7 linked regions of the Nothobranchius furzeri genome follow. The protein of the gene in region 7 purifies or fractionates together with the protein of the main gene of each other region. This does not show direct contact. Links are inferred from orthologs where the notes say so. Each region holds a gene or a part of one and is shown on either strand. Other genes may lie near its edges.

Region 1 (3,640 bases), about 12 Mb from region 7:
GTTTGACTCAACTCCTGACTAATTATATCTTCTCCCATCATAGAATATGATATAATAAAACATTCACCTCATTTTCACTTTCAGCTTGTGTTATCTTCTTTAATAAGAGGTCTGTCCGTTTCTTTTCAGTAATTCGATTAACCTGTATAAGGAATTCATTATTAAAGCAGGTAAAGTCAAACTTATTACAATTTATATTTAGAGAAAAATTTTAAGTCATTTTTTTTTGCATAAATTCAACATTTAAAAATCCACCTCTGCATTTTGGTGTAGTTTTAACTCCTGTCGCACAGATTTATTTATTCGTCTAAAATTCTCCAACTTCTCCAGCAAAAGTCCTCTCTGCCTTGTGATTCCACGCTTGTCTTTGGAAGACGGTCCCAAATCCTGAATTGAAAGAAGATGTGATTATTTACAGACACGGTAAATGCTCAAACCAAACAGAAGAAGGTAAAAATTGCTCTTAATCATACAGTAAATTCATCTTCTATTGCATTTTTGAATGAAGCAAGTTGTATTCCTGCAGAGTTGGCAGCAGCTTCTGCATCAATCAGTAGTTTCAGAAAGGTGTGCTTCTCTTCAAAGCTAAATGAAAAATAGGGATGTGAGAAAATGTTGTAAGCCTTTTAGCTCCAGAGCACATGTTTATAAACATGTGTGTTTTCTCTGTGACCTGTTTCCTTTTTGTGGCTCATGACTGTTGTCTAGGTCACCACGCCTCAGAGTGAGATCATCACTGGTGGAACTGAATCCAGGAAAAGGGGAACTCTGGGGATCACCATCCTCTGGAGACATACCCCCCACTAACAAAAACATAACATAATAAACAAAATAAAACAAAGTGTTAAATCACTAAATATCCTGATGGAAATTCTATCTCATATGCTTATAAGATCGTTTTATTACACTTTACAGCCAATTTGACTTGAACCAGGAAGCCAGCGGACACCCAAGCTAACATGCTGTACTCCATAGCAACGGACAGGTTTGACTAAGCCGTCGTTTAACGCGTGTTAATTTGCCGAATAAGCTAAGTCACTAACAACCACGTGGTGACTAATGTAATTAAACTTAGTACATTTCAACTTTAAATCGTATATTCTAGAAAATTCTAATATTACTCACACTTTCGCTTTGTTTCTGTTGTAAATAATACCACTTCAACTGGGGAGGCAGCAGGGACGCTCAAGCGCGATTGGCCATCTTCGAAGTAACGTAATGACGCTACATGTTTTTCCCATCACTTATTGGCTCCTCGAGGCAAAGAGGGGCGGGACTACGTTTGATTTTAATTTCAAACAGCCAATGGACGAAGAAAGAAGGGGAGCTTGGTTGAAACCATAGAAACGACAAGGAAGTCTTGTAGTCGGAGAACATAAACGTAAATAAGCTAGTTTAGTATACTTTTATTCTTTTAACTTAAAATACCACACACATGTTTCTTTAAAGACGTACTTAGCAATTTATATTCACGCTGAAACGTTGATTTTCTTAGGGTTCTTAAAGCTAGCGTGATAGCTAATGCTCGGCTTCGGAAATGTTCAAAGTAAAAATACTCTTTGTTGGACCTACCGAGGTAAGTAAATGAACGTAAAACGTATATAGATGAGCATGTATTGTTAACTTCTTTAGTGATCTCGGTCCTCGAGATGTCCAACACGTTTGAGTTGATTCCCTGCTTCAACACACCTGATTCAATTATCTGTTCAACAGCTCATCATGCTCTGCAGAATCACCTACTCGTTGAAATCAGGTGTGTTGAAACAGGCAAACAACTAAAACATGCATAATACCAGCCTTCCAGCACCTTTACCCCAGTTCTAGTGTAAACTATTTTATGTTTATCTCAGTAGCACTTCAGCTAATATCGAATTCATATATTTATGACAGTCTAATAACCTTGTTATGACGGTGTATGGAAGCATTTAAAAGAAAAACGCAATGCTTAGGTTAATGAAATCAAAACTATGCTATTTTACGAATAAAGACCTTTTGAAAGTTTTTAATGTGTAAAAAGTAATTTGTGAAAAGACAAAAAGATTGGATGTTTTTGAATTCAACTAAATACATTTTATTTGGTTACTCGAGCACACTTTAATTGTACCTCAGCTATTTCCATTTTCATGTCACACCGGACATGTAGTACAAATAAAACTCAGATGCTTTTCAGCACCACTGGTCAGTTCATAAACATGCTTATATTGTAAAATGTGAGAACTAAACATATCTTTAAAGTGATCTATTCCTTTTTTCAGAGTGGGAAAACTGTTCTTGCCAATTTTCTCTCAGACATGACAGAAAACGTGGGCGGACAGTACCGACCTACTAAAGGAGTCAGGTACAGGCTGTTTTCCTTTCATTACCTTTCATTCAATGTTATTACCTCATATACATATTATACTAAAATGATCACATTCACTTTCTACTTGCTCAAGGATACTGGAATTCAAATCCCAGCTTAAAGGCAGTGGTGACAAGACCTGTGAGGTGGAACTTTGGGATTGTTCAGGAGATTTTAAGTAAGTCATATTCACTAAGAAAATGCCTTTTCTTTCTAAATGAAAGCTGCTTTTTGATGCCAACCCTTTTCTGCAGGTTTGAATTATGCTGGCCTGCTCTCATGGAAGACTGTAATGGTGTGGTGACCATTTTTAATCCTGCTGTTCCAAGTCACCTGAAAGAAATTGAGACCTGGTACTCCATGTTCATTGCATCCCAAGGTTTGCAGGACAACCAGTGTCTACTCATAGCTCATCACAAGCCTGGCAGTGAGGTAAAAGATGGGCAGTTGACTTTAGGTAATCTCCTAAAAGTGTTGCATCAGTTTTTTGTTTTGTTTTCCGAGCTAACATCTTTACTCTTTTGATGCAGCACCAAATCTGAGCAGACTGCAGCTTATTCACTCCAACCTGGAAGAGGACCCAGAGGATGTTAGACATGCTTTCTTCAGATATGTGGGAAATGTTGTAAATGGGATGTTGGAGAGTCAAGAGCGAGAGGAAATGTCAATTATTACTCAGCAGTGAAATCTGTACATATCTACCCGACTGACTGCACAGTTCATTGGCTTATGTAACTCATCAAGTTATTTTCTGTTAATAACTTGTCCCTAGTGTTTTATTAAAGGTTCATTTACTTTATACCTACCTACTTTATACCTTTATTCCTACCAAAGCAGGAATACATGTGTGCCATTACCTTAATGGAAAACAAAATAAATCAGTTCATTAAACAACAAACACTCACCTATAATATAATGCATTCTTTAGAACCATAAAGAAATGTCTAAAATGTCCACGCAAAAAAAAAAGTTACAAGTTTTACATTTCTGTGTCTGCACAAGTTGGAAATAAGCAAAAGGCACTTGAACAAAGCTAAATAAAGCATGTTACACGTTGTAGAGAAGCTCATGTGCAGCTTCACATTTACATGGATGACTGAATCATTACTCACTTTCCTCTGACTCACCCTGCACCTCACATAAGACAAAACACTGCTGGAAAAACACTCAGAAAACAATAATGTTGGACCACCCCACATTTCCAAAACAAAAATTAACCCTTGCTCCCATCTATTAACAGATTTAACTCAGCAGTCCTGTGGGAGAGGTTTGTGATTTAAGAGGTATTGTGAAAAGTTC
Region 2 (4,285 bases), on a different chromosome or scaffold from region 7:
CATAAAACTAACTAAAATAACAAAACAAGCTAATTTCTTAGCTGAACTTTTTGTTTGTTTGTGACCATCTTAGTCATTTATAAGCGGCACGCTTCGTTTTGGTCGGAAAACGTGAAAATAAGATTAATATCTTGAAAACAAAATACAGTTAATATGCAAATGAGACGATTTCTCTATCCTTAGCGCTTTGTCTTGTCCCATGTTGCATAGCCACGCAGCAGAAGGGCTCTAGCCGAGGTCTCAATCTGACAGTAACATTAAGTTTCCATCCTGGGAGCTCTTCTGTTGGGGGCGGAGGTATAACTGAGCAACCTAAACTCACTGGATAAGCGCGTTCAAATGCATAAAATAACCACCGCATCAATTTAACCTTAAAAAACACGAAACAAACTAACACAAGCAACATAATAGATAACCCTGGCAATGTAGGTCGGGGAGCAACAGCATTAACTCAACCAAAGTCACGTTAACTTTGATCAAAAGGACAAAAACTAGCTTGAAAATAGAAACGGTCCACGTTACACTGCTATTAGATTTGGCAAACAATCTAGATCGAATGTAATATATAACAAATCTTATGAAGTCCTAATTCGCAGCTGATAGACAACACAAGTCTATTTGTATTATTTTTCGGGGTTTCTTCAGTTAAAATGCAGTTCCACATCGTCAGTGGTACTTTTAGTTTGAAACTAACGCTACGCGTTTCAGCAAATAGACGGCACCCAGTCGATCTTCCTCGCTAAGATATCTCCTGGTACCTTCCACAATATCGACGCGGTCCGTGAAAAGTCCTCCTTTCTTTCCCAGGTCGTTGCTCTAAAAAATTCCAGGAAATCCGAACTTCGGCGAATATAATCCATAAAATTCAGCCCTGTAACATTCCGAGTCGGTTTCCTGGTTGAAAATTCTAACTTGTAAATGGCGCCTAAACTGCGCCGTCAAACCAAATTCGTTACAAACTGACGCAAGGCACCATGGACCGTTCAAAGGGCAGGGAAAAAACTCGAAATTCAAAAAAGGGGACGAAGCCAACTCCGCCTCTCCACATCTACAGTATTCATAAAAAGAAAACGGAGAGAATAAAGAGTCGTTGTTCTGGAGTTTAAGATACACAATTTTAAATGACGTTTTGTTGCAAATAAAAACTTTAATCTTGTTCTTTATGTTTACAGTTACAGTAGAAGTGAGTTCCGCCTTTTAAGAATTCGTTTAGTTAAAAAAATGCCCATTACGTTTATTACAATACGTGCAACGTCTGATTTGATTAAAACGTGGCATGTATTAACCGTATATTTATGTGGATGGTATTAACGGGATCTTATTTAAATTTACAAGCATTTTCGAATTTGTTTTCTCGGGAAGATATTTGTAAATCTCGCGATAACTACCGTTTTAAACGTCCTCTCAAATGGCTACCAAAAAGTTAGCCTTACGTTATGACAAATTAGTGCCTGGTGCTGTTTATGGCTGATTTTTACGTTGCTGTTTAATTGAACCGTATTATACGACACGTATGCCTCGCAGGTTCGCTACGGATAAACTCGTTAACTGCAGTATGATGTCGGTGGCTCTCAAGAGGATCGTTAGCACACAAGTTACTGGCACGAGTCCTACCGAGGATTCACATTAGCAACGGTGCCAGCCACCTTAGCAACTGCAGAACACCCAGGGTTTTCCTCCATTAAAGGAACGTTTTACCGCATCAACGGGGTATGTTTATGATGCGTACGCTTAATGTTGTTTTTATGTGTTGTTTTGAATTATTTATTTCATGTATGCCGCATTTGAATAACATGTGTTGTCTGGCATTGTTTTTATTCGTTTAGGAGAGCAAATTCCTACAATGAGACTGAAAACATCGCTGCTAAAGGAACCCAAACATATCCTTTGTATGTTGATATTAGCTTTAGCTATGTCCGTTTTTTTAATCCAGCTCAAACTTGCATTAATTACATCACATATTGTCAGAATTCCTTACCTTTGTCAGCCCCAATGAACACATAACCCAATAAAATCGTTTTTTTTATTTTAAAAGTACCAGAACAAAGATGTTAAACATATTCCAGTTGCAAACACGAGTAATCAAGGAAAAACTGAAAAGTGTTCATTTACAATTTTTACCCTTTTTACATCAGTTACCCTCTTATTCATAAAGCAACATATTGTAAGAGAAGTTTTTTGTTTGCGAGGTAGCGCTTAAAATAGTTGCAAAGCTAGATTGTTAAATAAACAATATGATAGAAAGATGAACATTTATATGTTTCACACCAGGATATATTCTTGTTCTCGTCTCTGTTTTTGTGAATGTAGATGTCGATCTTTACAGTCAGCTGAATGACGAAGCAATTCACTTGAATTATTTTCCTTAACTGCATTTTACATAAAGAACTTGCCAGTTGTGTAGGTTGGACTACAGCAGATGAGCTCTACTCCTGCAGTGAGGATCATCAGATCCTCAAGTGGAACCTGCTCAATAATGAAACCAGCCTAGTCATCCGGTTGCCGGAAGACATCTATCCCATCGAACTACACTGGTTCCCCAAAACCATCGGTGGCAAGAAACAGGTCCAGGCTGAGATCTTTGTCCTTACCAGCACAGATGGCAAGTTTCTTTAAATCAGTTGTCATTTTAAAGGAGCAATATGTACAAATTTTACAGTGAACTATTCACAAGACAGTGTTGTCTCAATCATGTTGGAAGGAAGGTTGTATTGAAACACATTAAGTTCTCAGCTGACTGGAGGGGGTTGTCAAGTTTTCTCCTTAAAAAAACAAACAAACAAACAAAAAAAAACAACGAGTGACATAGTTCATTTACAACCAGTGAGGTTGCCACATCTGCAGCAAGCCAGCACTTCAGAATCGGCATTTTTAATTTAACACCGGGAGACAAAAATCTCCAGAGTTGTTTAAAGAATTGAAGCATGTAAACAGGAGCGACCCAGAAGTAAGTTTTTTGTACCCCTAAAGCCTAATTTATACTTCACCGTCTGCGTCGGTGCGGAGATATGCAACGCCATTATGCGTCGGCGCAAGGGCTCTCTGATGGGCTCTCAGAGGGTGATGGAGACATGCCCAAAGTTATAAACATCCATCGAAAGTGACGGAGAAAGCAAGCTTGTGATTGGTCAGGATGCCGCTTCCTGTATATTCGTCATTAGCAAAGCTGTAGCTCAGTTAAAAAGTTAACAGATATTTAGCAGCAGACCCAGAACAGATTAAAGAAAAAGTTCAAAAATAATAAAAAAAAATTTCACCCGTGAGTGAAGGAGTATAAAATACAGAGCAAACATGGACGGTAAAAGTGAGTTTGGAGGTGGCGACCGCATGAAGAGGTGGAGGAGAATGAAGGACAAATCTGTTCTTGTTATAAAGTCTCTGAAATATATAAACATATTAGTAAATACACTATCGGGGACTGGATACGTGAGAGTTATGGTGGCAGGCTACCATAGAACAGCGCTATGCCCTCTGTTGTCCTGGCGGGGAATTGCTTTGCTACACTCCGCTGCCTTAACAGAAGTTCGAATGTGAAAACCTGTCCGACACTCCATGTGCGTCTCCCCATTGCGGAGCTCACGGAGAAGTATAAATCAGGCTTTAGGAGCCACTGTATCCATTTGTTTTACACTCACATCAAGTGAAGCAGGCTAGAGGCTAATGTTGAGCTAACAATGCTAACAGTGATTTAGAAGCAAACATTAAGGTCTATAAATATCATAAGCTACCTTTTCTGTAACCAACAACTCAATCTTACAGTAAAATGTATGCGTGAAGTGAATTATGAGTAAATCGTGGTGTTCTTTAAATGAGTCATTCAAAACTGTAACAGCAAGCTAAAAGGCAGGAGGGCAAACAACTGCACTTCCTCTTTGCTGGAGGCATATTATCATAATAACGGTAGTAAGTGCTCCCTGCTGTAAAACACCCAAGCGTATTAAACACCAAATATTACAATTTATTTATCTACTTATCAACTTAATGTATATAACTCGTCTTTGCTTGTCATCTAGAATATTCTGGCAACAGCCATGAAATTATGTTTATGTATTTATGTTTATGTATTTAGCAGACGCTTTTGGCCAAAGTTACTTACAAGTGGTAATCGGCATGTTGCCCTTGAGGCTAACAACAACAACAATAACAACAACAAGAACAACAACCAATTTCATGTCAGTCGTAGGTGGCAGTGAGGCAGCATGATGAATCATGGAGAGGAGGGAACAAGGAGAGGTCAGTAGAGAGGGGGATGGGTGCAGGGAGGGTGCTAGTTTTGAAGATGCTC
Region 3 (4,027 bases), on a different chromosome or scaffold from region 7:
GGTCTACAGGAGGTGTTTGAACCTTAAAGAACACAAAGTGTTTAATAAAACAACCAAACACTTTAAAATTCTCTTTCTGTTACACTTTAAACATCTAATAGCTCCTGTGATTCATAACTATTTGTATCATTCTCAGTTAAAAGCACTTGATAAAATACCTTAGTTGTTATTTAAACGAATACGTCAAAGTTTAATGTTTATTTTTGAGAGATTATTTGGTAATGCGGTTGTAGTCATTTTCAGAGGACATCGTACTGTGTACTTCCTGTTTCCGTCTCAGATAGATGGTGCACCAGTTTATCTGAAGTCCAACAGATCCAAAACACCTATGAGGCTCCAGTAGGGAGTTTTTCATTTACTCTTGTCCCAAAACAATCAGTTTAGCTTAAGATGGAAGCTGCTGCTTTCTGGTTAAAGTTGTGTGGCTGCTAAAAAATTCCGATAAAAAAATAGTTTGGGGCCCAGTAACAGTTAGGTTAGGTGATGATAACTAAACTCCGTGTAAACACAATATTTAGTTTCACATGCGTGTTAACTCTGATATACAGTTTCAGTTCAGAATAGCACAGGTCAGTGGAAACTAAAGCTTTTATGCTGTATGTTTATTCGTTTTACTGTATCTTGTTAGCATGTCCCGCTAACATTAGCCAAAAACTCAGAAAAGCAGATAAACAACAGATCAAATATTAGAAGCTGAACGCACTGAAACGATATCGCTGTTTGCATTAAATGCATTTCTAGTAAACGGAAAACTAACTCCTGAATATTCGTGATCACGAGGTAAAACTTCAATAAACTAAGGAAAAGTAAAAAATGGCCAAACTGGATCCTACAGTTGATCCTAAACACGGTATGAGTCTGTAAGCTTTAGTTACTCACCGTCCTCTTTTTTATGATTTTAAGTAATATTTACAACAACAATAAACAAATGGAGTTTTAAATGATTTTAAAAAAGAAAGAAAACAAAACAGACGTATCCGTTTCTTGTTCTTTTTCTGGAATGGCTGTTAGCGAACTGCTTTTTCGGTTCATTACCGTCACCTTCCGCATTGGGGTGGAACACCCACAGTAGATAAGAGAAACAACATATAGTTGGGCTTTTTTTTTATTTAATTTTTTTTTTTAGATTTAAATTTTAGATCATTTATGTCACTGAGCGACTGACTTGGTCACAGTTCTAAAAACATTACGATAAACATGTCACTCCCGTTCTCCGGTGTTACCTCGATACGAGTCCTCCACCCACCCTAGAGGAACTCATGTTGACGTAACACACCGGTAAAGTATTCAAACGGAAAAAACATAGGGGACAGCGTTGTAACGAAACAGTGAATAGTTTTGTTATGATAATTAAGAAGGATAGGGGAAAACGACCACCCCCAAAGACCCCGACACAGCTGTAGCTGTTTGGTTTCCTTGGCAGCGACAGGAGGAGCTTAGCTGCTAGTTCATCTGCTCTGCCACATCACACGGGATAAAGCCTATCAGCTCACGACTGTAACAGGTAAAACATACACATTTGTGTTTCTTATCTTCATAAAAACTGGTCATCTATTATGAAGTGGTGACAGAAAACAATTTGTGGCATTTTTGAAACATCTAGCTATGCTAGCTAACTTAAATCATCTAGCTGGGGAGTTCTTAACATGACCGAAACAAAATAAAAGCATAATCTTTCATTTGGTGACACATGAACTTTCATTCAGCCGAGGTTAATTTAAGGTGCTGTTAATTTAAGCACTAGAGTAGAAGGAATCCTGCTTTACCGAAAGGTTTGCACTTGAACATCTTTAGTAAAATAATGTGTTTTACTTCTGTTTGTTTTGAACCTGCTCTTGTGTGTATTATGATGATAATGGGGTGTTACCTGTTAGGTATATTATCCTACAAACTATCTGATATTACTAAACTAAGTTGCATCTGTCGTTGATGACAGGCCTCTGGCCATGGCTAAAGACCCACTCGCAGAGGCAGGGTTTTATTTTGATGACCTGAACAAGCTGCGGGTGCTAGAGCCTGATGTCAGCCACAAGACGTCAGAGCTTAAAGAAGAGTGCAAGGACTTTGTAGACAGTAAGCATGGAGATTTTACGTCCTCATCCCCACCCCCACACTTTTCCAACTATTTATTCCCTTTCATCATCACCAGCCTCAACAGTGTGTGCAAAATTGTCTCCTCTGTTGCAGAAATTGGACAGTTTCAGAAGACCGTGGGTGGTCTAATCGAGCTGGTGGACGAACTGGCAAAAGAAGCAGAAACGGAGAAGATGAAGGTAAGTCTGACACAGAAAGCAGCTTTGTATGTCCCTGTTTTCTCTCCTGATTCTGTGAAACTTTTAGTGGTATCGGGTTTATGCTCTAATCATGTGTAAGCAGAACTTATTACTCATCATCCTGTCCTGTAGGCGATTGGAGCCAGAAACTTGCTGAAGTCTGTGGCAAAACAAAGAGAAGCCCAGCAGCAGCAGCTTCAGGCCCTGATCACTGAGAAGAAGATGCAGTTGGAGAGGTAAAGTAGCGCGGTGCACGTGTGTCAGATGGGTTAGCATGACCCTTTAGGGACACGTGACCTTCAGAACAATAAACACCTATAAGGGTACTTTTAAAATACTTTAGTGATGAACTTTTTTGTTTTGTAGAAAAATATAGTTTTTAACCTTCAGATGTTTTAAGGTAAATGATGAGACTATTATTTTGAAGGACTGAAGGAAGTTTTTTTTAGTTCCACTTTGTATGCTATAATCAAATTTGTGCCTCAAACTCAGTAAAAAGCCCTGTTTATGTAACATTAGTAATAAAATGGAACAGGCTTCAGGAGCACACAGTGTTTTACTTAATTCAGTTGTTCTTGAAAAGGCTTTTTTCTACTGCCTTGTTTTATTTATTTGTTCCTCGGCGAAGCTGAGGCAGGAGCAGCAGAGGAATGGGGGTCTGGAGTATTGTGCTGGGAGTCAGCTGTAGTGAAGTGGACCTTCATATTTACCCCAAGTTCTAACTGTCGGTCCCGTCCTGTGAGCTGCTGTTGTGTTTCAGGTATCGCATCGAGTACGAAGCCCTGTCCAAAGTGGAGTCTGAACAGAACGAGTTCATCGACCAGTTTATTCTGCAGAAGTGAGAGAACACGAATAAAGAACGATACATTCAGCCTCTGAGTGCCTTTCCAGAGTGATTGTCATTTTAAGTCACTCCTACTGGAGCTTCGTCATCTGAAACCCAGCTTCAGTGTCATCAGGAAACCTCAACACCCGTTTCTGCGGCGCCGATCTCAGACGTGTGTGCGTGTGTGTGTGTGTGTGTCTGCAACACATCAAAGCAGCCATGCTGAATGCTCAACATCAGATGTGTCTATATCAAAGTCCAACAGAAAAATGTAGATCTATTTATATGAAGCAGCATTATTAATACTTTTCATGATGAAAATTAATCTGTATATCTAGTTTTGTAACTTTTTCTATGAACTGTCATGAATTCTGCATGTGATTGTTAGCAAGTTTCAAACGTTTCCTTGTTATGAAAGCCCGTTCTAGCCGACCTGCGGATATAAACACAAGCTTTTCTTAGATTCCTACAGATGTTTTACTTGAATACTGTGTATTGAATAAATCTGTCTTGATGGTTGGTGGGTTAATCTCACATGTATGTTTGGTTTTAGTAAAACTCCCAGGATTTTCTTTTTTTTTTACCTACAGAACAAAAAGTTGCTTTAAATCTGAGAGCTGTTTACTCCTCAGAGGTGTTCCCATGGAGCCTAGTGAACTAGACCAAATTCTTGCTTTGCAAAGTTTGCAAATAAATAATAAATGAATTGTGCAAACAAATAATATAAGTAATACGATTATTTAGTCTGGCTTGCCAGGCTAGTTCCCATGCTGTTAGAAGAATAAGAAAAGATCTGTTCTAAAGTGCCTCAAGATAAAAATCACGAGGCGCTTCACAAAAAATGTAAAAGAATTTAGAAAATGATTAAAAATCAGCAAAAACAGACAATTGTGATTAAAAATGTAAAGAGAGAATAGGAAAGAGGGAA
Region 4 (3,500 bases), on a different chromosome or scaffold from region 7:
AAAAACACTATATATTTCTTTTTTGTTTTTTATTACATAATTAACATATTTTCTTTATTTTCTCAACAGACAGCTGGAGTGGAGCTGTTGATGAAGTGTGTCAACATCCCAGAGACCAATGACACGGTGGTAAGCTAGCAAATGCTACTTGAGCTAGCTAAGCATAGCTTTTTTCTAGCCATGCTCTACTGTAGCCTCATCAGGTCTACCATTGGCTCGAACAAATTAGGGTCCGACCAATTGCAATGCTCCATTTTTGAGAGATGCTAGGTTTTTAATGCAAACACATTCACGGAACACTCACACCTCGCCTCAGACATCTTCCCCGAGTCACCTCTGCCAGAACCGGAATCCCGCAATGCCGGACGAAACGAGATAGTGCTAAACACCGGTCGCTGTTTTCTACGTACAAACCTCTTTTGTTGTCCATGACTTCAAATGGTGTTTTTCTTTTTGGGACTCTAGTAGTTTGTCCTAAATTTGAAGTGGTAGCAGCCAGCTGTTTCTCCTTCTCTGATGCTATGAGCAGAAAATCTCTTACACCAGTGGTGTTCTGTTGCTAAACATGTGAGCGTGCAATAAATGTAGGACCCAGGGAAGTGTGACGGTTTGGCGAGACTGACAACTGTATGGTTTAATTGTTTTTTTTTTTTGGTCCAAAAGGTGTTATTGGCAGAGCTTATTAGATAAATTCAAAAGAAACATTTTAATAATTTGTTTTTCAAATCTCTAAAATATACATGTTTATAGTATGTTGGAACGTTGTTTTACTTTTAACCTAATTTGTTTTCCAAATCTGCCATTGTAGCTGTAAGTCACTAACCCTTCTTAAAGTTGTCTGACATTTCTTGCACCTCTGATTCATGGAAACTAAACTGAGAAGCAACAGAGAATGGTTTGAGAAGGATTCCCGACACAAGCAACAACTCTGCACTATTTAGCAACAACATTTGTCTTGATTTTAGTGTTAGTGAACGTGTTTGTCCTATTTCTTTCATTGATTTGTTCACATTTTAAAACAAAAGTTTGGTGATATTCTTTAATCTAAAAGAATAATAGATATTTAAGTAAACCTGCTGAATATTTACCTCATGTTTTCTTTTCTATTTTAAAGTACCTAAATTACAGAGGCCAAGTTTTGGCAACCCTCACTCACTGCGAATGAAGTTTTCCATCTACTATTCCCCCTTTCTTATCAGTATTCATTGAGCAGTGTAGGGGAATTGTAGAAGATGAATGTCTTTACCTTGGAGAAAGGGAATTTTAAATTGTGTAGTCCAAGTCTCCACGGTTAACACTTCTGCCTTCCCCTTTTTTTTTTTTGCCTCTCTTTCCAGGAGCTCTATATCTTAGACTCTGCAGGGAAGGAGACGCTAGCGGAGGGCTGTGAGAAAATGGTCAGATTACCTTTGTTTAATTTGCATGAAACTTATAAAACTGTCCAACCAGAGCTCCATCCCCTCAGAATGTTAAAACACCAGTGTGCTACTTGAGTATTGTTTTTGCAATAGACAGAACAAAGCTAATAGGACATCCCTGTAGCATCTCAGACTCTACCTGTCCCTTCCCCCTGCTTCTATGAGACTTACTGCTACATATCACCCTTTTTTCACAGTGGGGTGAACCTTCTTTGGTGTGCCTAGTGTTTGATTTGACCAATGAGCAGTCATTTGTCAACTGCAGTGGTTGGATGGAGAGAGTTCGTACGCACTGCCAAGGTCTTCGTGTTTCAGGTGAATAAAAGTAACGCTGTTGTACCAACAGACATCAAAACCTCATCATGCACTTTAGAGTACTTAGCATTATTTAACATTTTTAATTATCTGCCTAAGTCGCAAAATAGTTTATATTTTTGTTTGCTTGATAAATCTCACACTTTAACTAGAACTTTTCAGAAAGTGTCTTTATTAATGTTGGACTTAATCTTTTCTGAAGTTGTTTGTTCAACATACAGTAATGCTTTTACTTTAAAGAGGGCAGGCACTTGTTATTTATTAAATTTGCTGTGGTGTCTTAAATCATGCCTTGTGAGTGTTTTCTGTGGGGAGAAAAAGCTCTGGTGCTCCTGTTTCAGGAAGTAGAAGTTAGTTGGAGGACTGGGTTAGCATTCCACCAATGTGAGAGTGTGGGGCGTTACTGGAAGACAAGATGAATGGTTCTTTCCAAGGCTTTGGCTCTCATTGTTCACTTTGAAGAGCAGTTCAAGAGATTAGTTTCGTTCGTGAACGTCAGATCACTACTCTTCTTTCTTGGGTAAAACATGCAGCGTTGATGTATTAGCTCCACAAAAACAATTATTGCTAATGCTAATGGTTAGCTTCTACTAGCCATGACAAACTCTGTTTTCTCCTGGACGCTAAGTAAATACAGACTTCCAAGGCCGGTATTCTATTTTGCTTCACAACTACAAATGCAAAATTTACAATGTGACATAAATCTGCTTTTTTCTTACCCGATTGGTCATACTGTTCATTTTATTTCAGTGGGTAAAGCAGGATGGTTGTAAGTTAGATTCCCGGCTTTGGCCAATCTGCTCAGAGTTTGCCTCTTCTCCTCATGCATGTGTGGGTTTTCTCTGGGCACTCCAATTTCGTCTCACAGACCAAAAATATATATATTTTAGGTCAACTGAGAACCCTAAATTGTCCCTAGGGGGCCCCTGTCCAGAGTTTCAGCCACCACTTTAACTTTTATGGTCTTATGCCTGATTTATTCTTCTCCGTCTGCGTCAGTGCGGAGATACGCTGACGCAAGGGCTCTCCAACGGGCTCACAGAGGGTGACGGAGACATGCCCAAAATTTTAAACATCCGTCAAAAGTGACGGAGACTTCGAGCTTGTCACTGGTCAGGACGCCGCTTCCTGTAAATTCCTCACCGGCACCGCCATTGCCTTGTTAAAAAGTAATAAGATATTTAGCAGCAGACCCAGAAGAGAATGAAGAAGGCATCTCGAAAAAAGTCTGAAAATAAGAACATTTATTCACCCGTGAGTGAACGAGTACAAAATACGGAGCAAACGTGGATGGAAACGACGGGAAACGTGGGTTTAGAGGTGGCGACCACATGAAGAGGTGGAGGAGAATGAGGAACAAATTTGTCTGTGTTATAAAGTCTCTGAAATATATAAACACATTAGAAAATACACTATTGTGGACTGGATACATGAGAAAACCACAGAACAGCTCTACGCCCTCTGTTGTCCTGGCGGGGAGTTTCTTTGTAACACTCCGCTGCCTGAACAGAAGTTCGAATGTGAAAACCTTTCCGACACTCCGTGTGCGTCTCTCCGTTGCTAAGAGCTCACGGAGAAGTACAAACCAGGCTTTGGGGGCAGCAGTAGCTCAGGAGGTAGAGCGGGTTGTCCAGTAATCAGAAGGTTGCAGGTTCGATCCCGGCTCCGACCGGAGAATGCTGCTGTTGTGTCCCTGGGCAAGACACTTAACCCGCCTTGCAGGGGCGTGTCCAGGGAGTGGCCTGGGGTAGCAAATGCCACCCTTGG
Region 5 (3,500 bases), on a different chromosome or scaffold from region 7:
CCGATATGTATCCTGCTCATAAGAAATCTTGATGCATTTTTCTCTCCACTAGATTAAAAGTTTCACACTTGTTTTGAGATACTTAATGTGGCCCTAATGGTTTTTATTCAGGTATTCAAAACGGCATCTCTGTTAGCACCATGTCTGCATTTGTTGGTCCTTAATAACCTTGGACTCAGCTACGAGCTGATGGGCGATCGTCAGCAGGCAATCAAGTGGCTGATGCAGGTCATCTGTGTGACCCCGACTGACCCCCATGTCCTGGCCAAACTAGGAAAGCTGCACAATGACGAGGGGGACAAATCTCAGGCTTTGCATTACTATAGTGAGGTATGCAAAATAAACACCTGACACTGTGACTGAACAGAAAGGCGAAGGGATGTTTGTTTGATCTTTTCTGATGACCAAGACGGGAAAAGAAGGTGTCCGAGGAGATTTAACAAACGCTGCACAAATCATTTATTCTGTACTTCCAGGTTCCCAGATTCTCCTGAGTGTTGATAAATAAATGTTTATTTTCACTCAAGAACCGATTTCCTCAGGAACACATCACTAGTGGTGGGTTCAGTGGTGAACCTCATCTCCTTTTGCTTTCAAAATGCCTGAATTCTGAAGCATTTCGGTCCGGTTGAGCTCGTGGTCGTGTTCTAGAAACCAGTTAGTGATGATCTGAGCTTTGTGACACGGTGCATGATCCTGCTGGAAGTAGCATCAGAGGATGGGTCCATGTGGTCATAAAGGGATGGACATGGTCAGCAGCAACACTCAGGTGGGCTGTGGGGTTAAACCAGACACATCAGACCAGGAGAGGTGTTTCCAGTCTTGACTGGTCCAGTTCTGGTGGTCCTGTGGGAATTGTAGCCTCAGGTTCTTGTTAGCTGACAGGAGAGACACCTGCTGTGGTCTTCTGCTGCTGGAGTCCATCTGGAGCAGCGGGTGAGGTCCTGTAGACCTTGGTAGAAACCAGTGACTATTAGAGCTGCTGTCGTGTCATTTAGTTCTGTCAGTTTGGCCGTTCCTCTTGACGTTATCATCCACACAACAGCTGCTGACTGATTTTCTCTTCGCCGTAAGTCCCAGAGATGGCTGTGGACTCAAATCCAAGTAGATCAGCAGACTCTGAAATGCTCTGCCGGTCTGTTCCCCAAAACCACACGTTTAAAATCCCTTAGATCTCCTTTCTTCTTCATGCCCATGCTCAGCTAGAACTTCTACGCGTTGTCGTCACCACATCTACATGCCTAAACACACAGAGTTGCTGTCTTCTTGCTGGCTGGTTAGGTATTTATGTTAACATGTTAATCCGGTGTAACTCATTAAGGGGCCAATGATTGGAAGTGTAAGCAGGTGCATTACACCTTTGTCAAATGAAAATCACATCATGCCAAAAAATATCTGCAGTGTACATCAGCCATCTGCCGCCCTGTTGACCTTTGGCCCACGTTAGTGTAACGTGTCCTTTTCAGTCCTTCAGGTTGTTTCCCTGCAAGATTGATGTGATCGAGTGGCTTGGGGTTCACTACATCGAGAGTCAGTTCTTTGAAAAGGCCACCCAGTACTTTGAAAGAGCCACACTCATACAGTAAGTTTCCACAGTGTGCACGTATGCTGGAGGATTGTGACAGGACTAAGCGGATCAGTGTTGCTGATGCAAACCCATTTGAAGGTTGTTGTTTTTTAAACTCGTTCTACGGTCTCTTCTGGGCTTGAGCCCTACTCAGGAAAGCCGGATGAAATCTGTCTGAGCTAGTAGTTTTGATTTGTTTCAGTGTACAGTACTTTAAACAGGTAGCTCCTTGTTATTTATGAAGTCACCACAGTTCAATGGAACAGTTTATAGCATGTTAGGTTTTTATGATGCACATTGTTCCGTTATACAGATTCTGGCTTAAACGTCACACTTCAACACATAATAAAATTGTACTTGTGTTTTTGTAAACAAGGTCAAATGAAAAGTGGACGTAATTTGTTTAAATCTTGAGAGGGTTTGTAAATTCTGCTCTTGTGAAAATTCAGTATTTTGGGAACAGAATGTCCCCGATGATGAGCGGCACAGCTCCGCTCCGTTAGCTTTATTCTCAGCCAGTGTGTCTCCTTGCTCATCAGGAAACCAAAGTGTTGCCCTAAAAAGACTAGTTGGTTTTCTAATGGCATGTAAACGTGTTAGTCTGGCTGAAGGCCAACTGGTTCTAGTCGAGCTGAATCACCCAGATAGTGTGGTAGCAGTCTGACTACGTTCTGCATGGAAATCAATCAATCAATACTTTATTGATCCCAGAGGGAAATTAGAGTTTCAGTACACACACTTCAGAGATCAGACATACATGGGCAAGACACATGACAAGAATTGGTGACTGTGGTCATTCGCAACCGGAGTCGCTCTACCTGAATGGAGATCAGAGGGTTACATGAGGATATGTTCAGGTGGAGGGAAAAAAAGGCACTTCAGAGTTACCCTCCACCGGGAGGGCAGCTTTGCTCTGCAAAAAACACCTCAAACAAATATGCAACAGATTTCAGACATAACACAACATAACATGAGACTCCAATAGGAAGGTGGGGGGGGCTGGGATCCTGTTTCCCCCAGCGAGAGCAGCCATCTACGGCGCTCATCTACTGAACAGTCACAGGTGGGAGGGAGATCTTGGGAGAAGCAGAGTACATTGACTCCTACAGTTGACGACCTTGCCTGGCTGAAGTCCACCAATCCGTAGGCGGGGGGTGGGGGGATGGGGGGGATAGGTCAGGTTTTCACAATATCTGTCTGCATTCCTTCGTGGGGGTTTTAGTTGCTTGCAGCTCAAGGCTACCAGGGCGTCAGATTCAGATAACAATACTTTGTTTGGGTCAGGCTGAGATCATTTTCCTCTCTGCCTTCAGTCTTTAAACTGATCATTTCCAGTCCTTCAGTGAAGCCAATTTTGGGTTTTTAAACCTGTCCATACCGTCCGGTGACTCTCTCTGGCTGGCTGGCTAGCCTGTATTTGATATAGCGCCTTCTAGAGTCCTGGAACCCCCCAAGGTGCTTTACAACACAATCATTCACACCCTGGTGGTAATGAGCTACATTGTAGAGGACTGACAGAGGTGAGTCTGCCGTACACACACACACACACCAGTCCCTCTGACCACCAGGCAAGTCGAGTTAAGTGTTTTGCCCAAGGAGACAGCGACAGACTGAGTGGGGCTCAAACCTACAACCTTCCGATTACGAGGCGAGCACTCAACTCCTGTGCCATCGCCGAGTACATTAAATATAAGAAATCATGACAGGTGTCCTTCAAATTGTCTAGCTGGCTAGGAGGTTCCATTAAAATGACTTTTATCAAGTATCTAAACAAGATGCCCCGTGCTCTCCATCACAACCCATGCCCAACCAAAAAGTCTACATCATTGTTCTCTGGACAGTTTTAGGGTTATAAAAAACTGTTTAAAATATTGACTTTGCTGTCAGGTCCAAATGAAGCAGGTGTGGTTGTGTAAAGCGGTTTTAATGTTAT
Region 6 (4,000 bases), on a different chromosome or scaffold from region 7:
TTGTCTTTTGTGTGATCGTTGCCTGTACACAGAGCCTCTGTGTGTGGATTCCTTTTAAAATTTTGAAAAAAAGCCCATTAAAGAGCTTATATGAGGGGGATTCAATCATAAACTCTAATTAACTCTGGGTGTTTGTTGATTTGACTTGTTGCTATGTAATTTGCTGTATCTGGATTTATTGAGGTTGACTGAGACTCAGACACATCATGTCATGGTTGTCTCATCTGTCTGCAGAAGCAGGTGTAGCTGCTACAGTTAGAGCATTTTTTGCTTCTTGTATTGCAGCTCCCAGCTTATCTTGAGACCCGCTCTACAGATTGCTTTGCACATTTGCATTGACTTCATTGAGTCCTGCATGACAGTCATCAACAGATTTTTTGCCACTTAGGTCCACTTACAATTGCAAGTCAACCTCAGCTTCATAATTGTAAGTATTGATATGTATTGTTTTTATGGTTTTTCCCTCGTTCCATCTGATAAACCCTGCCCTCTTTATTCTCATGACATTGGCAGATTCTCACTGAAGGCATCAAAACTATGAATGAACACATGTGGAGTTATGTATTCAACCAAAAGCGGTGAAATACCTGAAAACCAGTTGTTTTTCAGCTGCTACTCAAAATTTGTTATCAGAAAAAGACAAGTTAGCACATGTATTATATTACAATGATAATAAAATGAGACACATTTTGCAGGACTAGCAGAGCAAATTCTATTGAGACCTCTATTGTTTTTTTACATGCAATAATTTTAAATGCAGGTGTGTATAATGTGAATATTTCCTTTTTTTGTGTGTGTATAGTGAGAATGCTGCCCAATCTTTTTTTCGTAACCCAGTTTGTGTGTTGAAGATGTTTAAATAGATAAAACTCAGCAAAGGCCAATGACTATCAGTTTCATAGGCACAGTTTTGGAGTATTATGAGCTGACATGTCAAATCATGTACGTTTTATACACTCTTTGTCCGTCATTCTACACATTAAATCGTGCTTTCTGGAAAGTGCTAATAAATAAGATCAGAATAAACAATGTGTAGTTAAACGTCATTATCCCCAACTGTCTTCATTATTGAAGCATGTCCAAATTTAAAAATCAATGTTTAAATTCAAAGAGACATTGGTGCATTTATTATTGCATTTACTTTAATAAAGTACAACGAATCCAAGTGTTAGTTATTCCCACAGACATTGATTCCGCCCTTCTTTGAGCTTTGACTACATCGAGCTTCCGTAGATGAGAGTGAGAATGTTTCCATAGCGACCATTTCTAGAGGCCGTCTACGGAATAACTTAGCTTGGACATAAGGTAACAGGTAATGACACCAATATCGTAATAATTTTAAATCCGTCTGGGAACTACTAATAACGCATTAAGTAAAATATTAATTATTTATTTGTTAACTAGCTGTTAGCCACTAGCGGTTGTCGTGTTAGCTTGTTGCTAACATTCAGCTAAAGAGGCTAGACCGTGGTTACGTTTACATAAACAGAAGTTTGCAGATGTTATTCTCCATCCAGCTTTATTATTTAAGTACTTTTCAAGACTAATGAAGCGCCGAACAGATTATAAACAAAGCATAAACATGGTTGTTTTAAAAAGACACGGATAGAACAAAAATACCATATTTCAAAGCACATTTGCTCTGTCCCCTCATAATTCAATTCAATTCAAAAATACTTTATTAATCCCAGAGGGAAATTGATTGCTTTTAAATTAATTAATTTAATCAAATCATATAAAGCTAGCAAACGTTTCAGGTTTACGATTCTTTTATTTTTTTTTTTATCATCATTGACTCTAAACGGGAAGAAATAGTTTTGATTTGTTGGAAACATTATTTGGTTATGTTTTCATCTATAATCTCAAATATGACACATTGAGCTTTCTAGGTAACACCACTCTCAATAATGACATGTTTTCCTTTCAGGTCAGCATGTCTTTCAGAGACCTAAGAAGTGAGTGTGTGTTATTTTCCATATTTATATAATGTAACACACATTTTTTCAAGTGATTGGACCCTGAATTTGTTATTTGCAGATTTCACAGAGATGATGAGGGCCTTGGGCTACCATCGCTTGATCTCTATGGAGAATTTCAGGACACCAAACTTTGCGCTGGTGTCAGAAATCCTCATATGGCTTGTAAAGAGGTATGGCATCACACTTTTAAATAAATTACATAATTGTCTAAACATCTTCAGTTTTTTGCACAAATATTTAATTCCTAATTTTATCACTACTTTATTTGGATTTGTTCCTGGTTTTTCATCAAATATTCCAAGATTAAAAAATCTAAATACTTTTTTTGTAATTTTGTTCCTGTTCACTTTCTTTCCTCTTGTAGATATGATCCTCACAGTGATATTCCCACTGATGTCGATACAGAGTCAGACAGAATATTCTTCATCAAGGCTGTGGCTCAATTTATGGTGACATTTTTTTTACAGATTATCTTCTGTATTCTTGCCCACCCAAATTCAAAGTCTGTTTTAACTTTTGTCTAATCTGCTCACAGGCTACAAAGGCTCACATTAAGTTAAACACCAAGCGTCTTTATCAGGCGGATGGCTACGCAGTAAAAGAGATGCTAAAGATCACCTCGATGATCTACAATGCTATGAAAACCAAAGAGATGGCTCAGGAAGATGTAGTGGAAGAAGATAACAAGTTTAAGTTTGACCTCAGCTCAAGGGTGAGCTTGTCTGCGAGTAATTTTACACACATGTTCCTGTATCCTCAGTTATTTATGAACATATTAGTAAACAGTAAGGTGTCAGGAGTTTGGTACATTATGAATAAATTGGGAACTTAAGACAGTTTAAATAAAACAATCAAAGCACAACTTATTGACAGTATTACTTATTGACAGTATTACTTATTGACAGTATTACTTACTGACAGTATTACAGGCACACACAATCTCATAACAGGAGTTTGTGTCAGGGTAGTTTTTATTGCATCAAAACTGTATCAAGTTATTAAAAATAAGTCTCCGTGGCTGAACAGGGAGAGCAGCAGGTGAGTGGTTCGATCCCAGGCCTTGGCAGACCACGTGTTGATGTGTCCTTGGGAAAGGTACTGAACTCTGAAATTTCCCCCCCTGGGGTGCTGTACAAACGACAGCCCACTGCTCTTCAGGGATGCAGGGAATCATTTCTCCAAGAGGGATCAATAAAGAATCAAGATCAATGCTTGGAAGCAGAAAAATTGGCCTAATGTAAAGGTACAATATGTAAGAATTTTTGTTTGTAAATGAGAACTTGTTCTCAAGCATTTTACCAGGTTAAATGAAGAAAAAAATCATGTTACTGTGAAATTATCAAAAACTAATGTCTCAATCATGCTGGAAAGAAGGTTACATTGAAACAGATTTCCTTCTCAGCTGGCTGGATGGAGGCCAGCTTTTCTCCTTTAAAAGTCTTTGTTTACAATCCATGAGCCTGCTGGGTAGCTGAGTGCGCCAGCTAACACTGCTGCATCAGCATTTTTAATTCAACACCTGCCAACAAAAACCTCCAGACTTGTGGACATATGTTAGCCAGTAAATGGCAGTCACTTTTATTGCCCACACATTTTATGCTCCGAAGACTTGTGTGAAAGATGAGTGCTTATTAGCTCTCACGTTGTCTCTGCTGCAGATTTCAGACCTTAAAGCAGTTCGTCAGCTTGCATCTGAAGTCACATCCAAAGGAGCATCTCTGTACGACTTACTGGGAAAAGAAGTGGACCTAAGGGTAAAGGGAAACAAACCATACCTTGCAGTTTTAAACATCTTTAAAAAGTTTTTATTTGATTAGAAAAAGACAATTAGATTTTAATTGTTGACGGACTTCTTTTCTAATTGACAGGCAGCGAGAATGGCTGCCATTGCTCGACCTCTTGAGATTAACGAGACTGAAAAAGCCCTGAGAGCTGCCATCAAGAAAGTTCAGGTCTGTATTTTAAATTATTGTTTTGTTTTGTTATCTTTTCAACACTTGACTTCACACGGAAAATGTTTT
Region 7 (4,162 bases):
GCTACGCTGCAGCACAGACGAGCGTGCACCTTGTTGTCGGTCCTGATGGTGACCTTGAGCAGCGGCAGGACCCTCTCCACCTCCAGGTTCCATTCCGCTGCCTCCATCGTAGATTCCAGAATCTCATCGGGTTTGGAGGACGGTTCTGCTTCCTGTTAGACAACAGAACCGGTTCCAGTGAGAAGGAAGCTGGGTTTCCAAACTCCAAACATTCCTCTAAATAAATCTCACAGTGTGAGTTGTTCTCAGCTTCAGAGCCTCTAGGTCCATCATGGTTTCCTCATCCTCGTCAGCTTCCTCCTGAGGAACAAAACCATTCAGATTTACACTTTTTAAAATGATGAAACGGTTTTCTGTCAAAATCAGCAGCAACTCTTCCTGGCTCCCAAACAAGATGCTGCAGAAACATTTCATTTACTTTTCACGCCGTTTGTAAAGCATGACACCACTACGCTCTCTGATGTTTCAACAGAAATGTTTTTAACTTCAGTTCATTTTGGTCAGAGTAAAAACAAACTCGTTTACAGGTAAATAAGCCAGAAACACGTACAATCGTCTCCACTTCTACTTTGCTGAATGTGAGCTCGGCGTCGTCCTCCATCACAGACTCTTCTTCTGTGTTTTCTGTTGGGTAGCTGGGCCTAAAAACGGAAAGACAGCTGTAAATCCTCTCTCTCTCTCTCAGTAGGAGCGTGCAGAGGTGTCAAAAAGCAGGTTTCTTCTGTTTTTGCTCTGATCAACAAACGTCACCATCAAAGACGACTGAAAAGCAGTTTCACATCATCATACTGAAACTTGTTTGATCGCTGAAACATTTTTGCGAATATCAAAACAAAAACAGACAAAATCTGTGAGAATCCGTTTTAATGTGTGAACTGGGATTGAGACAAAACCAAAAAGGTTTCCTGACAGAAAAAGACTAGAGGGATAAACGTGCATTAATGGGTTTTATGTGACAGTAATAGATGTTTTGACCCAGTAATGAGATAAAGGAGGACCCGTTGTCGTACCTCCTGAATGTGAAGCCTCTCTTCTTAAGCGCTTCTTCAGCCAGACGATCCAACACAAAGCAGACGTGCTCGCCTGAACCCGACTTGAGTTTGGAGGGAGGGAAGTCCACTTTTACACCCTGATGGAGACATGGATAAATACCCTGAAACCCCCGAGCTTTAATAGCAGCTGGTGTCAGGAGTTACGGAGAAAAAAAATACAAAAAATTTATTGTCGCACAAACTATTCATTTTATTTATTTAGCTCTTGTTTTTGATAATTTCACAAAAATAAAACGTCTGATTCATGTAGCAGACGCAAAATTATTCAAGGGGAGAGAAAAGTTTGTTGTGACGTACGAAAGCCCTGAGTTCTGTCAGGATGTTGGACACGGTGGCGTTGGGTTCGTCGTACTCCTGAGGCTCGGCGAACGCTCTACCCGCTATGTTGATGAGCCATGCAGCCATGATGGTGAACATGTAGAACTGCTCACCAGAGTTGGACGCCAAGAATGGACTGGAGACAAAGTAATGTCTGAGGGGAATTAAGGACACAAAAATGCTATTTTTTAATCTTTCTTTATAAATGTATATTTTGTAAGATTTCTAGAGTCAAAAACAATCTTTTACCCCGAACGTTCTGAATATAACAAAAACTCTAGAGAAAATGAACTAAAACCTGATGTACACTTTCATGGGAATTCTATTAGTTGAGAGCTGCATGGAGGCCTTGTAGTGAAAAGGTGACAGGTTTGAATCCCATCTGACTTTTCTGTGTGGAGTTGGCATGCTCTCCCCATGCATGTGTGAGTTTTCTCCCACAGACTAAAAACATACATGTCAGGTTAACAGAGACACTCAATTGCCCCTACGTGTGAGGGAGACGGGTTGTGTGATAGACTGGAGACAAGTCCAGGGTGTCCCTCGCGCCCTGTGACCCTACTGAGGATGAAGGGGTTTAGATGAGTGAGTGATACTAAGATATCAGATAATAATTAGAGGAGGACGGGTTTGAGCTAGTAGCAGGAAACTGGAAGTCTGCAGAAAACAAATAAATAATGTGTGTGTTTATGTGGCTTCCCACTGCTAAATAAATTATGTCCGCACAATCAAACTAAACGCATAGACATGAATACAAAAACAGTGTCTGAGTGTTGGACATGGTGTCTCCAACAGGAAGGACACATTTAAAGCTTCTAGGAAATGTAAAAAGACACCAAAACACAGAAATGTTTGTTTTTATAAGTTAAAACTTGTGGAAAAGCTATAAACAGAATTTAAACAGAACAGGTTCAGTAGATCTATAAAATTATTGTCCATCTTGTGTTTCTGCCTTCCTAATCTGCTGTATTCTGGTCACTTTTCAAGTTTAACACAGAAAAGTCAGATTAAATAGTTTATAAATTAAACCTAAACTGTGCTCAGACCCAGATTAGGAATCCAGTCTCTTCTCACCTGGACAGACTCTTCATGTTGTGTTTGGACAGAAGTTCCTCCTCGTAGTTCAGGACCTTTAACTTCTCCAGCAGGTTCTCCATCACCACAAACGCCTGGTGGACCGAACCTGGCCCGCGGTCCGCATCCTCTCCTCGTCGAGCCTCCTCCGACATTCCGTGGTATTTCCCCAACGAAACACCTTAAAGGTTAATTTTGCTCAAAACGCGGTCGGTTCGGTCCGATTTTGATGGCTCGCTTCTGATGCTGCGGTTTGTTTCACTTCTTGTCGGTTGTTAGGCAACCGAAGCTAGCCACCTAGCTGTGGAGGAGGATAACCTTAGCCAGTGTGTCTTATTTTCAAGCTAGGTTAGGAAGTATTTAAAAGTCTATTCAACAGCAACAACATTAAAACTAACAGGTTAAGTGACAAACTCAATTCAAGCGTAAAGTATCGCTGTTAAAACGAGCTTCTTCTTCTGGTTTGATTCAGATTTAGCCAAACGACTTCAAGGTGCGTCACCACCACCCAGCGGGCGACACGAGTACTACACGCTTTTGAGCAAAATAAATAAATAAATAAACCATTGCAGGGCTATTCCGATTTCCAGCCTTCCAGCACGTTTTAGTGGTTTCTCTAGTCACCTGTGCAGCAGCTACACCAGGCTCTGCAGAAGCCTGTTAATCACCTGCTGATTGAAAGCAGGTGTGTTAAAACAGGGTTAAACTAAATGTGCTGGATACCAGTACTGGAATTGAAAAGCCCTGCAGTAGGGTGTTTGAATCAGCTTAGTACTACTGTAACTTACCAGTTAAAAAAAGATGAAAGAAAACCACCCGAATCAAATTCCAAATTGTAAAGATTACTTGACTTCATTGATGTATTGAGTCCAGTTCTGCAGAAGGAGCTTGATTGTTGAGCAAACCTATTTTTCATTTGATCCATTTCCAATTTCAAAATAAGCCTATATTGTCTCACTTTGTTTGTTTGGGTTTAGCACAAAAGGTTCCCACAATGGCATTGTTTCTGATTCTATTTCATTCAAGTTCAGCATTACTATGTTGCACAAAAACCTTCTTTTGATTAATTCATTTCCACAACAGCAAAAACAAACCATCACTTACATCAGTCATCAGCAATCCTCTAGTCATTTTCGTCAGAAACCTTTATAAAAATATTATCCATGTTGTAGCAACTGCAGCTGCTTCTAGAGCAGAACAAACATAATGTTACCTCTTCATTGTGCTACAGTATTAGCTGAAGCTCACCTCCGAGCCAACGCCATCTTCCCCGTGTGACCCTGAACAGGAACATGTAGGTGTAGAAATGATCACCTTACCATGGGGGAGGGGCTTCCGGACCCTGTCAGCTGTGTTGTCTGGGACATCAGACCCTGGTAGGGCCTCCAGGGTCACTGAGCCTCAGAGGTTCAGAAGAGTCCTTCAAAGAACTTAATGTAGGAGGACCAAGAAGCACCAGACACCTCACAGAGAGACACAGTCATGAGAATCTGGATGAGATTTTTGTTTATTTATGACAACAAAACTTAAACCCAATTAAAACACAGAAAAGGCAACACTTTGGGATAATTGTGGTCAACTGAGTCAGTTAGCAGAAGACTTCTAGATGAAATAAAGGGGAGAACATCCTGGACTTTGTGTGATGTAAAGCTACATTCCACCTGTAGATAGCATGCACACTGCTCCTATCTTGGTCAGAAACACTTTCTAACACATGA

The links.
Region 1: the proteins of ift57 (region 7) and ift22 purify together in Homo sapiens (affinity purification with mass spectrometry; 3 studies listed by BioGRID and IntAct, counting the BioPlex papers as one, with this or other methods). This does not show direct contact. The link is inferred for Nothobranchius furzeri from reciprocal best matches to the Homo sapiens genes IFT57 and IFT22.
Region 2: the proteins of ift57 (region 7) and ift80 purify together in Homo sapiens (affinity purification with mass spectrometry; 3 studies listed by BioGRID and IntAct, counting the BioPlex papers as one, with this or other methods). This does not show direct contact. The link is inferred for Nothobranchius furzeri from reciprocal best matches to the Homo sapiens genes IFT57 and IFT80.
Region 3: the proteins of ift57 (region 7) and ift20 purify together in Homo sapiens (affinity purification with mass spectrometry; 3 studies listed by BioGRID and IntAct, counting the BioPlex papers as one, with this or other methods). This does not show direct contact. The link is inferred for Nothobranchius furzeri from reciprocal best matches to the Homo sapiens genes IFT57 and IFT20.
Region 4: the proteins of ift57 (region 7) and ift27 purify together in Homo sapiens (co-immunoprecipitation; 3 studies listed by BioGRID and IntAct, with this or other methods). This does not show direct contact. The link is inferred for Nothobranchius furzeri from reciprocal best matches to the Homo sapiens genes IFT57 and IFT27.
Region 5: the proteins of ift57 (region 7) and ift88 purify together in Homo sapiens (affinity purification with mass spectrometry; 3 studies listed by BioGRID and IntAct, counting the BioPlex papers as one, with this or other methods). This does not show direct contact. The link is inferred for Nothobranchius furzeri from reciprocal best matches to the Homo sapiens genes IFT57 and IFT88.
Region 6: the proteins of ift57 (region 7) and cluap1 purify together in Homo sapiens (affinity purification with mass spectrometry; 4 studies listed by BioGRID and IntAct, counting the BioPlex papers as one, with this or other methods). This does not show direct contact. The link is inferred for Nothobranchius furzeri from reciprocal best matches to the Homo sapiens genes IFT57 and CLUAP1.

The regions. Positions count from the first base shown.
Region 1 is NC_091751.1:48,583,784-48,587,423, reverse strand, and holds ift22 (intraflagellar transport protein 22 homolog), read left to right. Parts: upstream 1-1,292; 5' UTR 1,293-1,381; intron 1,382-1,495; 5' UTR 1,496-1,537; coding exon 1,538-1,576; intron 1,577-2,255; coding exon 2,256-2,338; intron 2,339-2,435; coding exon 2,436-2,519; intron 2,520-2,595; coding exon 2,596-2,798; intron 2,799-2,871; coding exon 2,872-3,026; 3' UTR 3,027-3,140; downstream 3,141-3,640. Other genes in the region: outer dense fiber protein 2, read right to left, coding at 68-142, 256-387, 474-585, 674-795. UniProt on the Homo sapiens protein: Small GTPase-like component of the intraflagellar transport (IFT) complex B.
Region 2 is NC_091753.1:52,601,098-52,605,382, reverse strand, and holds the start of ift80 (intraflagellar transport protein 80 homolog), read left to right. Parts: upstream 1-1,485; 5' UTR 1,486-1,710; intron 1,711-1,826; 5' UTR 1,827-1,843; coding exon 1,844-1,883; intron 1,884-2,383; coding exon 2,384-2,602; intron 2,603-4,285.
Region 3 is NC_091753.1:22,422,731-22,426,757, reverse strand, and holds ift20 (intraflagellar transport protein 20 homolog), read left to right. Parts: upstream 1-1,227; 5' UTR 1,228-1,504; intron 1,505-1,936; 5' UTR 1,937-1,946; coding exon 1,947-2,073; intron 2,074-2,187; coding exon 2,188-2,273; intron 2,274-2,405; coding exon 2,406-2,509; intron 2,510-3,033; coding exon 3,034-3,115; 3' UTR 3,116-3,701; downstream 3,702-4,027. UniProt on the Homo sapiens protein: Part of intraflagellar transport (IFT) particles involved in ciliary process assembly. May play a role in the trafficking of ciliary membrane proteins from the Golgi complex to the cilium.
Region 4 is NC_091746.1:76,141,234-76,144,733, reverse strand, and holds part of ift27 (intraflagellar transport protein 27 homolog), read left to right. Parts: intron 1-69; coding exon 70-129; intron 130-1,337; coding exon 1,338-1,397; intron 1,398-1,615; coding exon 1,616-1,733; intron 1,734-3,500. UniProt on the Homo sapiens protein: Small GTPase-like component of the intraflagellar transport (IFT) complex B that promotes the exit of the BBSome complex from cilia via its interaction with ARL6. Not involved in entry of the BBSome complex into cilium. Prevents aggregation of GTP-free ARL6.
Region 5 is NC_091742.1:29,231,089-29,234,588, forward strand, and holds part of ift88 (intraflagellar transport protein 88 homolog), read left to right. Parts: coding exon 1-7; intron 8-179; coding exon 180-330; intron 331-1,466; coding exon 1,467-1,582; intron 1,583-3,500. UniProt on the Homo sapiens protein: Positively regulates primary cilium biogenesis. Also involved in autophagy since it is required for trafficking of ATG16L and the expansion of the autophagic compartment.
Region 6 is NC_091748.1:64,775,477-64,779,476, reverse strand, and holds the start of cluap1 (clusterin-associated protein 1 homolog), read left to right. Parts: upstream 1-1,200; 5' UTR 1,201-1,312; intron 1,313-1,927; 5' UTR 1,928-1,933; coding exon 1,934-1,955; intron 1,956-2,037; coding exon 2,038-2,149; intron 2,150-2,343; coding exon 2,344-2,428; intron 2,429-2,514; coding exon 2,515-2,691; intron 2,692-3,637; coding exon 3,638-3,733; intron 3,734-3,847; coding exon 3,848-3,931; intron 3,932-4,000. UniProt on the Homo sapiens protein: Required for cilia biogenesis. Appears to function within the multiple intraflagellar transport complex B (IFT-B). Key regulator of hedgehog signaling.
Region 7 is NC_091751.1:36,282,714-36,286,875, forward strand, and holds the start of ift57 (intraflagellar transport protein 57 homolog), read right to left. Parts: upstream 2,801-4,162; 5' UTR 2,600-2,800; coding exon 2,445-2,599; intron 1,525-2,444; coding exon 1,350-1,524; intron 1,130-1,349; coding exon 1,011-1,129; intron 642-1,010; coding exon 551-641; intron 301-550; coding exon 232-300; intron 153-231; coding exon 30-152; intron 1-29. UniProt on the Homo sapiens protein: Required for the formation of cilia. Plays an indirect role in sonic hedgehog signaling, cilia being required for all activity of the hedgehog pathway.